Linked DNA regions of Callithrix jacchus. Each later gene encodes a partner of the first gene's protein in a complex. Links are inferred from orthologs where the notes say so. Each region holds a gene or a part of one and is shown on either strand. Other genes may lie near its edges.

Evidence for each region.
Region 2: the proteins of KCNAB2 (region 1) and KCNA1 are in contact, whole or in part, in a crystal structure (PDB 1EXB), measured with the Rattus norvegicus proteins. The link is inferred for Callithrix jacchus from reciprocal best matches to the Homo sapiens genes KCNAB2 and KCNA1. Residues at the interface, in NP_059000.1 of Rattus norvegicus: Met196, Tyr199, Ser200, Arg203, Glu231, Lys235, Ile236; in NP_775118.1 of Rattus norvegicus: Glu37, Met70, Phe73, Asp74, Pro75, Leu76, Asn78, Tyr80.
Region 3: the proteins of KCNAB2 (region 1) and KCNA2 are in contact, whole or in part, in a crystal structure (PDB 5WIE), measured with the Rattus norvegicus proteins. The link is inferred for Callithrix jacchus from reciprocal best matches to the Homo sapiens genes KCNAB2 and KCNA2. Residues at the interface, in NP_059000.1 of Rattus norvegicus: Met193, Met196, Tyr199, Ser200, Arg203, Glu231, His234, Lys235, Ile236; in NP_037102.1 of Rattus norvegicus: Asp28, Glu33, Pro62, Met66, Phe69, Asp70, Pro71, Leu72, Arg73, Asn74, Tyr76.

What each region holds. Positions count from the first base shown.
Region 1 is NC_133508.1:43,885,883-43,889,623, reverse strand, and holds the start of KCNAB2 (voltage-gated potassium channel subunit beta-2), read right to left. Parts: upstream 2,437-3,741; 5' UTR 2,343-2,436; intron 1,878-2,342; exon of another isoform or gene 1,810-1,877; intron 1,760-1,809; exon of another isoform or gene 1,638-1,759; coding exon of another isoform or gene 1,521-1,637; exon of another isoform or gene 1,386-1,520; intron 1-1,385.
Region 2 is NC_133510.1:18,519,229-18,522,969, reverse strand, and holds the start of KCNA1 (potassium voltage-gated channel subfamily A member 1), read right to left. Parts: upstream 2,856-3,741; 5' UTR 2,287-2,855; intron 1,920-2,286; 5' UTR 1,382-1,919; coding exon 1-1,381. UniProt on the Homo sapiens protein: Voltage-gated potassium channel that mediates transmembrane potassium transport in excitable membranes, primarily in the brain and the central nervous system, but also in the kidney.
Region 3 is NC_133508.1:148,471,483-148,475,223, forward strand, and holds the start of KCNA2 (potassium voltage-gated channel subfamily A member 2), read right to left. Parts: upstream 2,552-3,741; 5' UTR 2,427-2,551; intron 2,317-2,426; exon of another isoform or gene 1,863-2,316; intron 1,732-1,862; exon of another isoform or gene 584-1,731; intron 76-583; 5' UTR 1-75. UniProt on the Homo sapiens protein: Voltage-gated potassium channel that mediates transmembrane potassium transport in excitable membranes, primarily in the brain and the central nervous system, but also in the cardiovascular system.

The DNA.
Region 1 (3,741 bases):
CCTCTGGCATCAAACCTTCTCGAATACCGCTCCCAGTGGCCCACTGTCCTGCCTCCTTATTCAGGGACCCCAGAAAAACATTCTCTCTGGGAACTCTAACAACGTGACAATCACAGAGAATTTAGCCAAGAACCAAACACATGCCACTCCTGGCCAGAGTCCCTGGAAATGGAAGCATGTTACCATGGCAGAGCACCAACACACAGGAAGGTCTGGGGGAGGTCCCTCCCTCCAAGCCCAGGCCGGAAACTGCCAAATCAAAACCGTGTGGCGCTCACTTCCTCCTGAATCATTTGGGTCTTAGAAGATTGCTGAAAAAGGAAAGAAAGTGAGCAAGCCTTCTCTAGCTGGCCATCCCGTGGCACCCTCGGTCTTTCCAGTTCCCTAGCATGGTGGCCCATGTCCCATCTCCTGGGTGTGATGGCTTCTGTGCACCCTGCTTCCCATCCAGCTCTGTATCCAGACTAAGATGGTTGTGAACCAAGAAACACATGACAAGGGTTTCACACTTTTTACGACACCACCAGCCCCAGTGCCCGGCTCAGTCCCCAGGTGCCGATTAGCACTGACAAAGCATGTGCTGACTGGCGCAGGGAAAAAAAATGGCCCTGGGTATGGACAGGGAAGCCTCTACCATGCTGCTTTCCAGGCAGAGATGTGCTGCATGCAGCCCAACACCGTCAGTGCCATCGAGGCCGAGTGTGGCTTTGGAGAGCTGTCTCCAGAAAGAATGGCAGGACCTGGGGGACCAAGTGCATTCTTACGGCCCCACACTGTCAAATCACAGGGCCAGGAGCTGCACAGGGTTCTGGGGGAGACAGAGCCACCAGGCAAGAATCAGGTGGGCAGATGCGACTCTTCACACATAGGTCCCCAAACCCTGCAACGCGGGGCCTGAATGCGGCTTCCTTAGCAAAGCAGGAGCTTACTCTTGGCACTGGGGGGAAGGGGAGGGAGGAGGCTGGCGTTTTTGAGGGGGAGAAGTTGCAGAGAAAGAAGAAATCCTGAAGCGACAGACAGTGGGACAGCTGTGGCCTGAACTTGGTGTTCCTGCTCCTCGGATGTGGATGTATTAATTTCCATAAATGCTAATAGTCCATTTCCCCAATAGCTATTACTTATGCCATCTCCGCTTGGACACAGTTCAACACAGGGCAGACAAATGAAAGGGAGGAAAAGGCCATCCCCATTGGCTGTCCCCAGCTCCTCAGCCCCCTCCCAACCAGGCAGCTCAGGTCCGGTTCCTAAGGTAGCCCTCTAACTGCAGGGTCAAGACCCCCTGCCTTCAGTTTCGTGGCCAGGTCCCTATCACTACAGGAAGCAAGAAAGTTACCAACCCCAAAAATGCTGAATCACAAAGTGAGGCTGAGCAGGAAAGTGGGGGCGGGGAGGGAGGGAGATGGTGGCCAGGGAGGAAGGGTGTTAAGGGGCTTCCCACCTGGAGCACCCTGGGATGCTGCAGGCAAAGCACAGCCCCTGCAGGAGGCCCCAGGACAAATGGCAGGAGGAGCAACGCCAGGATGCGCCTGGATGGGGGGGTGGGAAAGTGGGCAGGTACCCCGACTGCTGCCACTGCTAGTGCCGCAGGACGTGGTGCAGCAGCGGGGTCTTTGCATCCCTCCTGGGAGCAGCAGCAGGTAGGGAAGTGCTTTGTGCCAAGGCCTGGCAGGAGGGAGAAGCTTAAGATAGTAGGGGCTCAAGGGTGTAGACAGCTCGAGGAACGGGTGCAGGAAGCAGGGTCACAGTCCTGGGGAGCCAGGTAAGGTGATGAGAGCGTGCCCGCGGGGAGAGGTCGGAGGGGCTGGGAGCAGAATGGGAGGGAGGGACGATGGAGAAAAGGACCGGAGCGATACAGGGACAGGCTGCGAGAACGATGGGTGAGCCTTGAGGAGCAACCGGGGGTAGAGATGGGGAGGACCGGGACCAGCAGCGCCCCGGTGGGGCTGCGCGAAGGCCGGGAGAGGGGATGGGAGGAGGAAGGAGGGAAGGGGAGGGCGAGGCTGCGGGGACCGGAGCGGGCCGAGACGGGGAAGAGGTGCACCGGGGTGAAGGAGAGGGACGGCGGCAGGGGCAGGGGTCTGGGATGCGAGCTGAAGGGTCGGGCGGGAGGACCGCGAAGGAAAGGGAGGAAGGAATGGGGGAAGGGAGACGACGGAGAAGGAGGTGAGGAGGCTGAGGAGGAGGTGAGATGGAGGCGGAGGCAGGGACGCAGGGCCGGGGAAGAGGAGATGGAGACGGCACCGCGGCGCCTGCCGCAGCGCGAGCCTCGTGGGTGCCCGCTGCCGCCGTCCCGGCGCAGGTCGGGGGAAAGCGCGCCCCGCCGGGGTCTCCCCCGTACTCACCTGGGGGCTCCAGCTCCGGATCCTGAGCCCCACGCCGGATCTTCCTTCCCGCCCTGCCCCTGCGACTTTAGCGCCCCCGAATCCCGCTCGCTCCGGCAGGTTCCGCCAGCAGCATCTTCACCTCGTGGGACGCCCGGGGCCACGCCTCTTCCAGCTTCGAATTGGCTGCTGTTCACGCCAGTCACATTACCATTGGTTGCAGGGTCGCCGGACATGCAAATCAGGACGGGCCCGCCGCCGCACCGATTGGCTGGCGCTCGCGAAGTCTAGCCCTAGACTTGGGCTCTGATTGGCTCCGCGGCCCTGACGGCAAAAGTGACGCGAGGCGGGTTTTCGGCCTGAAGTGCGCGGCGCGCGCAGCCTTCCAAGGCTCCTCCCGCGGGTGGCAGCGGACGGGGCGCGCCCCTCGGCCAGTTTTCGGTCCTTAAGGCCTCCGGCTGCGTTGAGCACCGGCTGCCGGGCCTTTGGGTCTGTCGACTGGGGACTCTCTCAAAAGCGTGGGTTCCGCGGCCTCCGGCGTGGCCGCGGCGGGCCGGTCTCTTAGGTAACGCGGCCCGCGGCGGGCGGAACCATGTGGGCCAACGCCACGGGGGAGGTTGGACGCGGCCTCGAGGCGCACCGGGCTGCAGTGTCTGCCGGAGCCTCGGGGTTCTGGGGTAGGATGGTCCGTGCCGTTCTGTGTGGGGGCCGGGTGCCTGGAGTCTGGCGGCGGCGCTCGGCGAGGCCTGTCCCCGCGTCAGTCGCAGGCTTCCCCCCTCGTCGGGACACTTGGTGCGGCCCGGGCCGCCGGTTGCAGTTGGGCTACGTGGATTCCCCCTCTGCCCCTGCCCTTTGCCCCCTGCCCCCTGCCTCCTGCCCCCTCTGCAGCCCTTCGGCTGAAGGAACTGTGGTGCCGCTGACCTGGTTCTTGGGTCTGCGTACATCCTTCCCCGGCCGGAGCCCGCGGACCCCACCTTCGCCTCCGTTTCCCTCCTGCTGTACCCGGCTGTTGCTCTGCGGCCCTCGGGCGTGCCCGCGAGGCTCTCTTCTGTCCGGGGCCACCTCGGCCTTCCGCGCCCCCTTCCTGCCCTGGGATCTCCCGGCCGACCGGACCCGGAACACGACACCCGCTCCCGCGTGCCCTTCCCCACACGTGCAGGCCCCCCTGCTGCCCGAGATTCCTCATGTCTGTCTTCTTAGGTGACCGCTGCTTTTTGTCTCCATATGTCGCCATGTGTGGCTTTGGTGGACGTCTGCGAAGGAAATCCAGCCTCTCACGTGTGTGCAGTTGGCAAAAAGAGAGCGTTTCTGATGACCGTGGGTAGCGTCACCTGGTTCTGACTTAGGGCTCTGTTCGTTGCAGCTCCCCTGTGCAGTTTCCATAGGTTACTGTCTTTTTTGTGTGTGCTAATTTGTGTCC
Region 2 (3,741 bases), on another chromosome or scaffold:
TATCCTCTTCGATCTCCATGTACTCAGACTTGCTCATAGTAGAGGAACTGCGGCGACTGAGGTCACTGTCAGAGGCTAAGTTAGGGGAACTGACGTGGAGCAACTGAGCCTGCTCTTCCCCCTCAGTTTCTCGGTGGTAGAAATAGTTGAAATTGGACACAATGACAGGTACGGGCAGGGCAATTGTCAGCACACCAGCGATGGCACACAAGGAGCCCACGATCTTGCCTCCAATTGTCACAGGGTACATGTCACCGTATCCTACAGTGGTCATGGACACCACCGCCCACCAGAAAGCATCGGGGATACTGGAGAAGTGCGACTCAGCTTCTTCCGCCTCGGCAAAGTACACTGCACTAGAAAACAGGATGACCCCGATGAAGAGAAAAAAGATGAGCAGCCCTAGCTCTCTCATACTAGCTTTGAGGGTCTGGCCCAAGATCTGGAGGCCCTTAGAGTGGCGGGAGAGCTTGAAGATTCTAAAAACCCTTACCAAGCGGATGACCCTGAGGATGGCCAGCGACGTGGCCTGCTCGCCCTTCTGGTTTCCTTCCTGCTCAGCTATCTCGGTGCCTAGGGTGATGAAATAAGGAATGATGGCCACAATGTCGATGAAGTTCATGATGTTTTTGAAGAAGTCCGTCTTGCTGGGGCAGGCAAAGAAGCGCACCACCAGCTCGAAGGAGAACCAGATGATGCACAGGGTTTCCACAATGAAGAACGGGTCCGTGAAGATGTTGGAATTGTAGATGACCGTGGTGTTGTCGATGCGGTGGACGGTGCCCGTGAAGTCCTTGTCATCCTTCAGCTCGGGGAGCGTCTCCAGACAAAAGATGACGATGGAGATGAGGATGACCATGACAGAGACGATGGCGATGACCCTGGCGGGCCCCGAGCTCTCTGGGTACTCGAAGAGCAGCCACACCTGGCGCTGGTACTCCTTCTCGGGCAGAGGGCGCTCCTCCTCCTTGATGAAGCCCTCGTCCTCCCGGAACTTCTCCATGGCCTCCTCGCCCAACTCGTAAAACTTGATCTCCTCGGAGAACATGTCCAGGGGCACGTTGACCGGTCTCCGCAGGCGGCCCCCCGACTGGTAGTAGTAGAGGATGGCGTCGAAGCTGGGCCGGTTGCGGTCGAAGAAGTACTCGTTCCTCAGGGGGTCGAAGTAGCGCATGCGTTTCTTAGGGTTGCCCAGCAGCGTGTTGGGGAACTGCGTCAGGGTCTTGAGCTGCGTCTCGAAGCGCAGCCCGGAGATGTTGATAACCACGCGCTCGCAGCACTCATGGTCGTCGTGGTCCGCCTGCCGGGGGTAGCTGCCATCCTGGGGGTGGCCCGGGGCGGCCGAAGCCTCGTCCACGTTCTCCCCAGACATCACCGTCATGGTGGAAGTCGGGCGCGGGGGGTGGGAGGCCAGGAGAGAGCCCGGGGTGGGAAAGAGCCAGGAGCCGGAGGTGGGGGGGACCCAAGCGGCCCCCCCACCGGAGTGCGAGTCTCCCTCACGCCCAGGGGGAGGGGATTCAAAGCGAGCAGTTCGGGAGATATGCGACTTCGCCTCGCGCTGCTTTCCCCTCCACCCTGCTTTTCACTCAATTTGGAATCCCCCTTGCCTGCTGGCCGGTGCAGCTTTTTGCCGAGGGTTGGATTTGGGTTGGGGTTGGCTTTTTTCTTTTCTTTCTTTTTTAAGATAATTTTTACTGATCCGAGGAGCCTTAACGCAGTGCTGTTCTAGCGGACCGGGCCATCGCTTCGGGGGTCGCCCTGGCCTCCCCTCCCCTCCGAGAGCCTTCCTAGGACCCGGTGCAGTGCCGGCTCAGCAGATCCCCACGCCTGCCACCCTCTCTGCTTCTCCTCGGCTCTCCCCCCTCCTACCCCTCTTCGCCTGCCGCCTTCTAAGCTCCCACCAGGGCGATCGATGGACGCTGCAGAGAAATAGAAAGTGATACGGGGGTAGAAAATCAGAAGCATTCCGATGGGACGGACCTACAGACACCGAAGAACACAGACCTCTAGCTTGAGAAAGCACTGGACGTTTGCTAGGGTTATCACACACACACGGACAGACAGACACGCAGACACCCGGAAATCCAAGTTTGGGGCTCTTCCATCCCACATTCCCCAATGCCCAACAGCCGATCTGTTTACAACTTCGTTAAACTAGAGATCGGAAAAGCGCCCAGAGACACCGGGGGAAGCTCCGGGTCCCGGGCAGCATCCCCACACCCCCGGCCTCCCCAACCCCGCGCCCCAACCCCCGCTTCTGCGGCCCGGAGCTGGGGAACCCCCTACCTGGCCAGCAGGCTTGGCGCAGGGGCGGTGCTGCGTCCGCGGAGAGCCGGCTTGGGAATGCGGCAGGTCGCCTTTGCAGTGCCCTGGCGGGAGCCCCGGCGGTCACCACAGCCAGCATCCGAGACGCGCCGGGCAAACTAGCCTCCCTGGTCCGCTCGTCCGACGCCCCTCTCAGTTGGACAATCGCGTTACGGAGCAGCAACGGCGAAAATGTTCATTTCCTACCCCCATTCTCACTGGTTGCCAGCAACCTGGAGACGCCGTCCTCTCTCCAGTGCAGGGAGTTCCGGAGGATGCAGGGCGGAAAAGCAAAATACCACCCTCTCCCGAAGCTCCGAGGCAAATGACGATAAACAGCACTCTCGCCCCCTCCTAACACTATGCGAGCCCTTGATTCGATCCCGAAGGAGGCGGGCGGGTAGGAGCCTGGATCTACATGGCTCTCCAGTTCCCTTCGCTCTCTGCACCCCTGCGAGGACCTCGCCGAGGCTACGCGGCGCGCGGGGAGCCCTTAGGAGCTTGGAGTCGGGCAGAGTGCCTGCGGCGGCGGGTCCGCTCTGTCCATTTCTGGGCGCTGCAAGATCAGCAGAAACCTGAGAAAGCGCCTGGAATACGGAGCAGCGATTGGCCCACCCGGGCGTGGGTTGGGGAGGGCGGGGGAGGGCAGGAGCGAGGAGGTGGATGGAAAATATGAGGGGGTGGTTTGCAAGAGAGCGGGGTTGTCATTCAGTTCCCACCCTCGCCAGCACAGCTTCTTCCTCTCCTACCAGAAAAGTCGACCACTAACTCTACTTCCCCTGTGACCCACCGCCCTGCCCCGCCCACGCACTGCCGCTAGCGGCGCGCGACCTTCCCCGGGAATTTCACATTGGAAATGGTCAGGTCCGACGCAATGCAGGAGGTGGTGTTTCTGGCAAAACTCCTCCGATGGGTTTGCTTTTGTGCAGTCCCACAGTAACCCTCTTCGATCGCACTGCTCTGCGCCCCATCCCGCTCTTTCCTCAAGGAGGCCCTTGCTCTCTGCGGGGTCCACCCAGCCTCCCCCCGCCGGCTGGACTCGCAGAGCTGCAGACTTTGGGCAGAGCCCAGCAGTTGAGGATCCACGGGTTCTTTCCATGTAGTTTTACTGGGCGGCGGCGGTGCTAAGAGCCTGTCCCTCTTTAACCTACGATGGGACTTGAAGTTTTCTTACGAACCGATTATTCTGAAATACAGAGAATGTGACTTGTGGGGGACCAAAGGCCTCGTGGGTTTGTGGGGTTGTCTGCCAACTTGGTGCTAATTGGGAATAATCTGAGAAGCAAGTCGCCTACTCACCTCCCACCCTCTGTCCCTCCTCCCGCAGCCTCTTTCCCCAGCCTAGTGCCTCCACTGGGCCACTTTCAAAGCTTGCAATTTATTCGGAAAGGGTCCCCCGCAGAGGCGCATGGCAGCAGGAGCCGGGGGCGTGCGCCG
Region 3 (3,741 bases), about 100 Mb from region 1:
TTGGAAGGAAGGAGGCAAGATGCAAAGCTCAGCAAAAGCTGGAGTCCTGGCTGTCCTCAGGAGGTGTGACGTTGCCTGGAAAAAAACAGCAGCAAGGTGGAACCAGGGCATTTGGGCAGCTGGTGCCAAGATTTAGGAGGGTCTGGGAGCTTCCCTTATAGAAGGTGGCAGGCCCCTATGCCCACCCTCCATTCTGATGCCAGGCCTGAGGACTATCCCTCAGCCTCCGTGCCTCTTCTGTGCAGGCTTCCCATCAGCTTGAAGCTCTTTCTCCCAGGGAGCAAGCCTCAGGTTTAGCTGGGCCTGCCTATTCCAGGGGCCTCCCTGGGTTGATCCAGGTCCCTAGTCCCCAGCTGCTCTCAGGAAGGACTCTGGAAGGAGCACCCCTACCCCCACATGTCAGGATACAGCATCTCCCAAGAGGAGGGCTTAGCTCACTGCAGCCTGTCTACAAGCTCTGACCTCAGCCGGTCCTGGAAAAGAATCTCCCCACCCTCCGGCACACACAGACTCCTTCAGGGCACATCTAGGGAGACACCCCACACAACAAAGTCACCACTGTACGGAAGCTGGATGAACTTACTCTCCCTCCAGGATCCCTGGGCCGCAGGCCTCTCTCTGAGCCGGGTGGCATTTGAGCTGGGCAGGCGCTCGACCACTGATTTCTCCCTCAAGAGAAAATCCCTCATGTCTCCTCAGCAGGGAGCACAGAACAAACGCTCAGCCTGCCTAGCTGCGAGGCGGTTTGGCAGCAGCGAGAGGGGGAGCCTGAAGGAAGCAGGCTTCCGGACTGGCCCCCTGCCGACCCAATCCCGCCGGCCCCAGGGCGGGGAGGGGTCTGGGCCCGTCTCCCCATCGCCCCGGGCCCCGGCCGGGATTCCGTCCGGCGCGCTCCCTGCTCGCCTCTGCGCCGAGGACCAGACCCTCCCGCTGGCCGCCGCCGCTAGCGCCACCTTAACCCCCTCCTGCCCGCGCGGTCGGCTCCCGCTGCGGGCCCGAGCGCAGCTCAGCTCTCATGCCCCCCGGGTCCAGCCGAGGGATCGCCGAGGCTCAGTCTCCACCCAAAAATCCCAGAGCCTGATCTCTGGGCGTGAGGAGTAGCCTGCGCCAGGCTGCTGCCCCCGATCTCAGCTTCCTCGTAAGCGCGGGGGCTTCGCGGCAGCCCACGGCCCCAGCGAGAGAGGGGAAAGCCCTTCTCTGCAGCAAAGCCGTTTGTTATTCTGTGCCGGAGAGGCGGATGCAGCCCGGCCGTCCCAAGTGGTTCGAGTCCTACCAACCCGCGCTATTTACCAGACACGGCTGTGCTGCCAGCTGCACTTCCCACCACCCACAGCTCCTCCCTGTCCCCTCCGCCCCGCGCCACGCACGCCCAAGAGGGTCCCGAGCCCATTCTGTGCACTCTTCTTGAGCAGGGTGCAAGTTCCCCTTGATCTCCCCGGTCCGGGACCTGCCGAGCAGACGGCAGTGGTCGGCAACGGCTCGCCCGCCCGGGACTCAGCCCGAGCCCGCTGCGTGCAGGCTGCGCCGCCGGGTGCCCCGCAGCCCCTCTGGGCGCCGCAGTCGGGCTGGGAACGCCGCGCAACGCCAGACACGGATTTACCCTTCCGGACGGACGCCGGGGCCTCCATGTTCCCGGGCTGTGGCCAGCGCCGGCAGAACCGGCAGCGGGCGGCGGCGGGGTGCGGGCGGCCAGCCGGGAGCCGGCTCTGCAGTCCCGCGGGCGGCGCGTACGGAGCGCCCGGCCGCCGCCCGCAGCCGCACCGCGCCACGCAGCGCCGCACCTGGCCCGACGGCGAACCCCAATTAAAGGGGCCGGCGGGGGCCGGGGACGAACTGCCCGCCGCCGCCACCAAGCTAGTCACCTCGTTGGGCCGCCGGGTCTCAGCTCCCGCCCTGCGAGGAAAACATTCTTTGGCAGAGCCGGGCTTACTAACCAGAAGCTCCGGGAGAGCTCAGCTGGGGGCTGCCGGGCCGGGAGATGGGGGAGGGCAGAAGTTGAGGAGCGCTGGTGAGAGGCTCCTGCCAATGTAATAAAGTAGGCGAGGAGGAGATCATCAATAGCAGCGATCCCAGGCCCACGGCGGGATTCGGCCCCGCGGGAGACGTGTTGCTATCACCGTGGTGCCGCCAGACAGGCTCTGCAGACCCCTTTCTTGCCCTTTCTCCCGCCGGCGCGACCCCTTCTCCAGATCGGCTTCCCACCCCACTGTTACCCAGCAAAGATTTGGCTTCGCAGGGAAACGCAGCAGGTGCGGTCCGCAGTGTGGCAGAAACTCTTGTGCTGTGTTCACCCTCACCGAGAGGAGCCGCAGGAACAGGCAGCACTGCAGGGCTGGCCCTCTCTACTCCCGGACTCCCTCCCCCAGGGCACCGGCGGGGAAGGCTGGGGGACACGCTGCTGCCCTTGGGAAGGGTCAGCTACTCACATAACGGGCCCTCTGCCAGAACTCGCAAAGCCGTCCGGCCCACCGAGCTCTGGACTTGGGAGTGCAGCTTACAGCTTCCTGGGGTGGGCAGACGAACATGCCCTTTGCTTTCCGGAAACGTGTGTGGGAAGCCCAGCCTGCCTTCTGCCTAGAAAGGGCATCCGAGAAGGTCCAGGGTGCTTTTGGGAGGCATAGGACAGCCTCAAGCCCCTGCTAGTTCTGTTGTCCAGGTCCCTGTCAGGGTCACCTAGACAGGTGTGCCAAAAAGTGGTGGTTCCTTGAGATCAGACTGGGGTAGACACGGAGCTCTGAATTCAGAGTGGCTCTAACACCAAATCCCCACTGGGCCCTTCCCTGGCTGGAAACCCTATTCTTTCTGCTTGTACCTCGTGGGGAGAGCCCCGGAGAGCCAGTGAGGCCGGACTCCAGGTTCTGGCATTTTATTGTGGTGGTGTGTGAGGTGTGGTTGAAGACTGGGAGCCTGTCCAGAGCTGCAGTGGGTGGTCTGGGAGGGCAGTGACCTCCATGAGCCTGAAGGATGACGGATGGCTATAGAGAAGGGCTGGTATGGTTTAAGAGCCCCTAACCTGGACTGTTAATGTCCTAGTCAGTGAATGGCTTGGGTGTTTGGGAGGCAGCCAGACCGAGACTTAAATCCCTGACAGTTACTAGGTAAGTTATTTCACTTCCCTGAGCACCACTGTCCTCCTCTGAAAAATCAGGATGCCCCTAAGGGTGCGGTGAGGTTTTAATTGTTGAATGAGTTTAGCATTCAGCAGACATTCAATATATGAAGATTTCTCTGCTCTGCTTCCCTGTGAAACTCTCCTCCTCGCTCTCAGCCTCCAACATAGTTTTGGGCTGTTTTTCTAGGCTCCCAATCACCAGGTCATTGTTGCCCCATTCCCTCTGCTTCCCAGATTGCCCCACCCTTCACTTTCCCTGAGATCTCAGCCATTCCCACCCATCTAGCAAATTGTCCTCCTGTTCCCTGCCCTATATACTTCTTCTGAAAACCTCCCCTGAGCAGCACCAAGGGGCTCTGTTTCTCCTACTTGGCACACTGGGTTCTCATGTAATTTAAAGTCAGATAGTCCTGTGTATCCATTTGACCATATCTATATGTTTCCTTTGCCTTCCTTCTTTAAAACAGCAGATGTGGACAGAGAAAAGCCTGGTGGGTGGGGGGCGGCGGCGGGCGTGGAGAATCAATCATCATAATTGGTGACATGGGCTTATCATGTGTCAGACCCTGTGCTAAGCACCTCTAACTCAGTGTGACATTTAATCCTCGCAGCTCTGGAAGTTAGTGTAT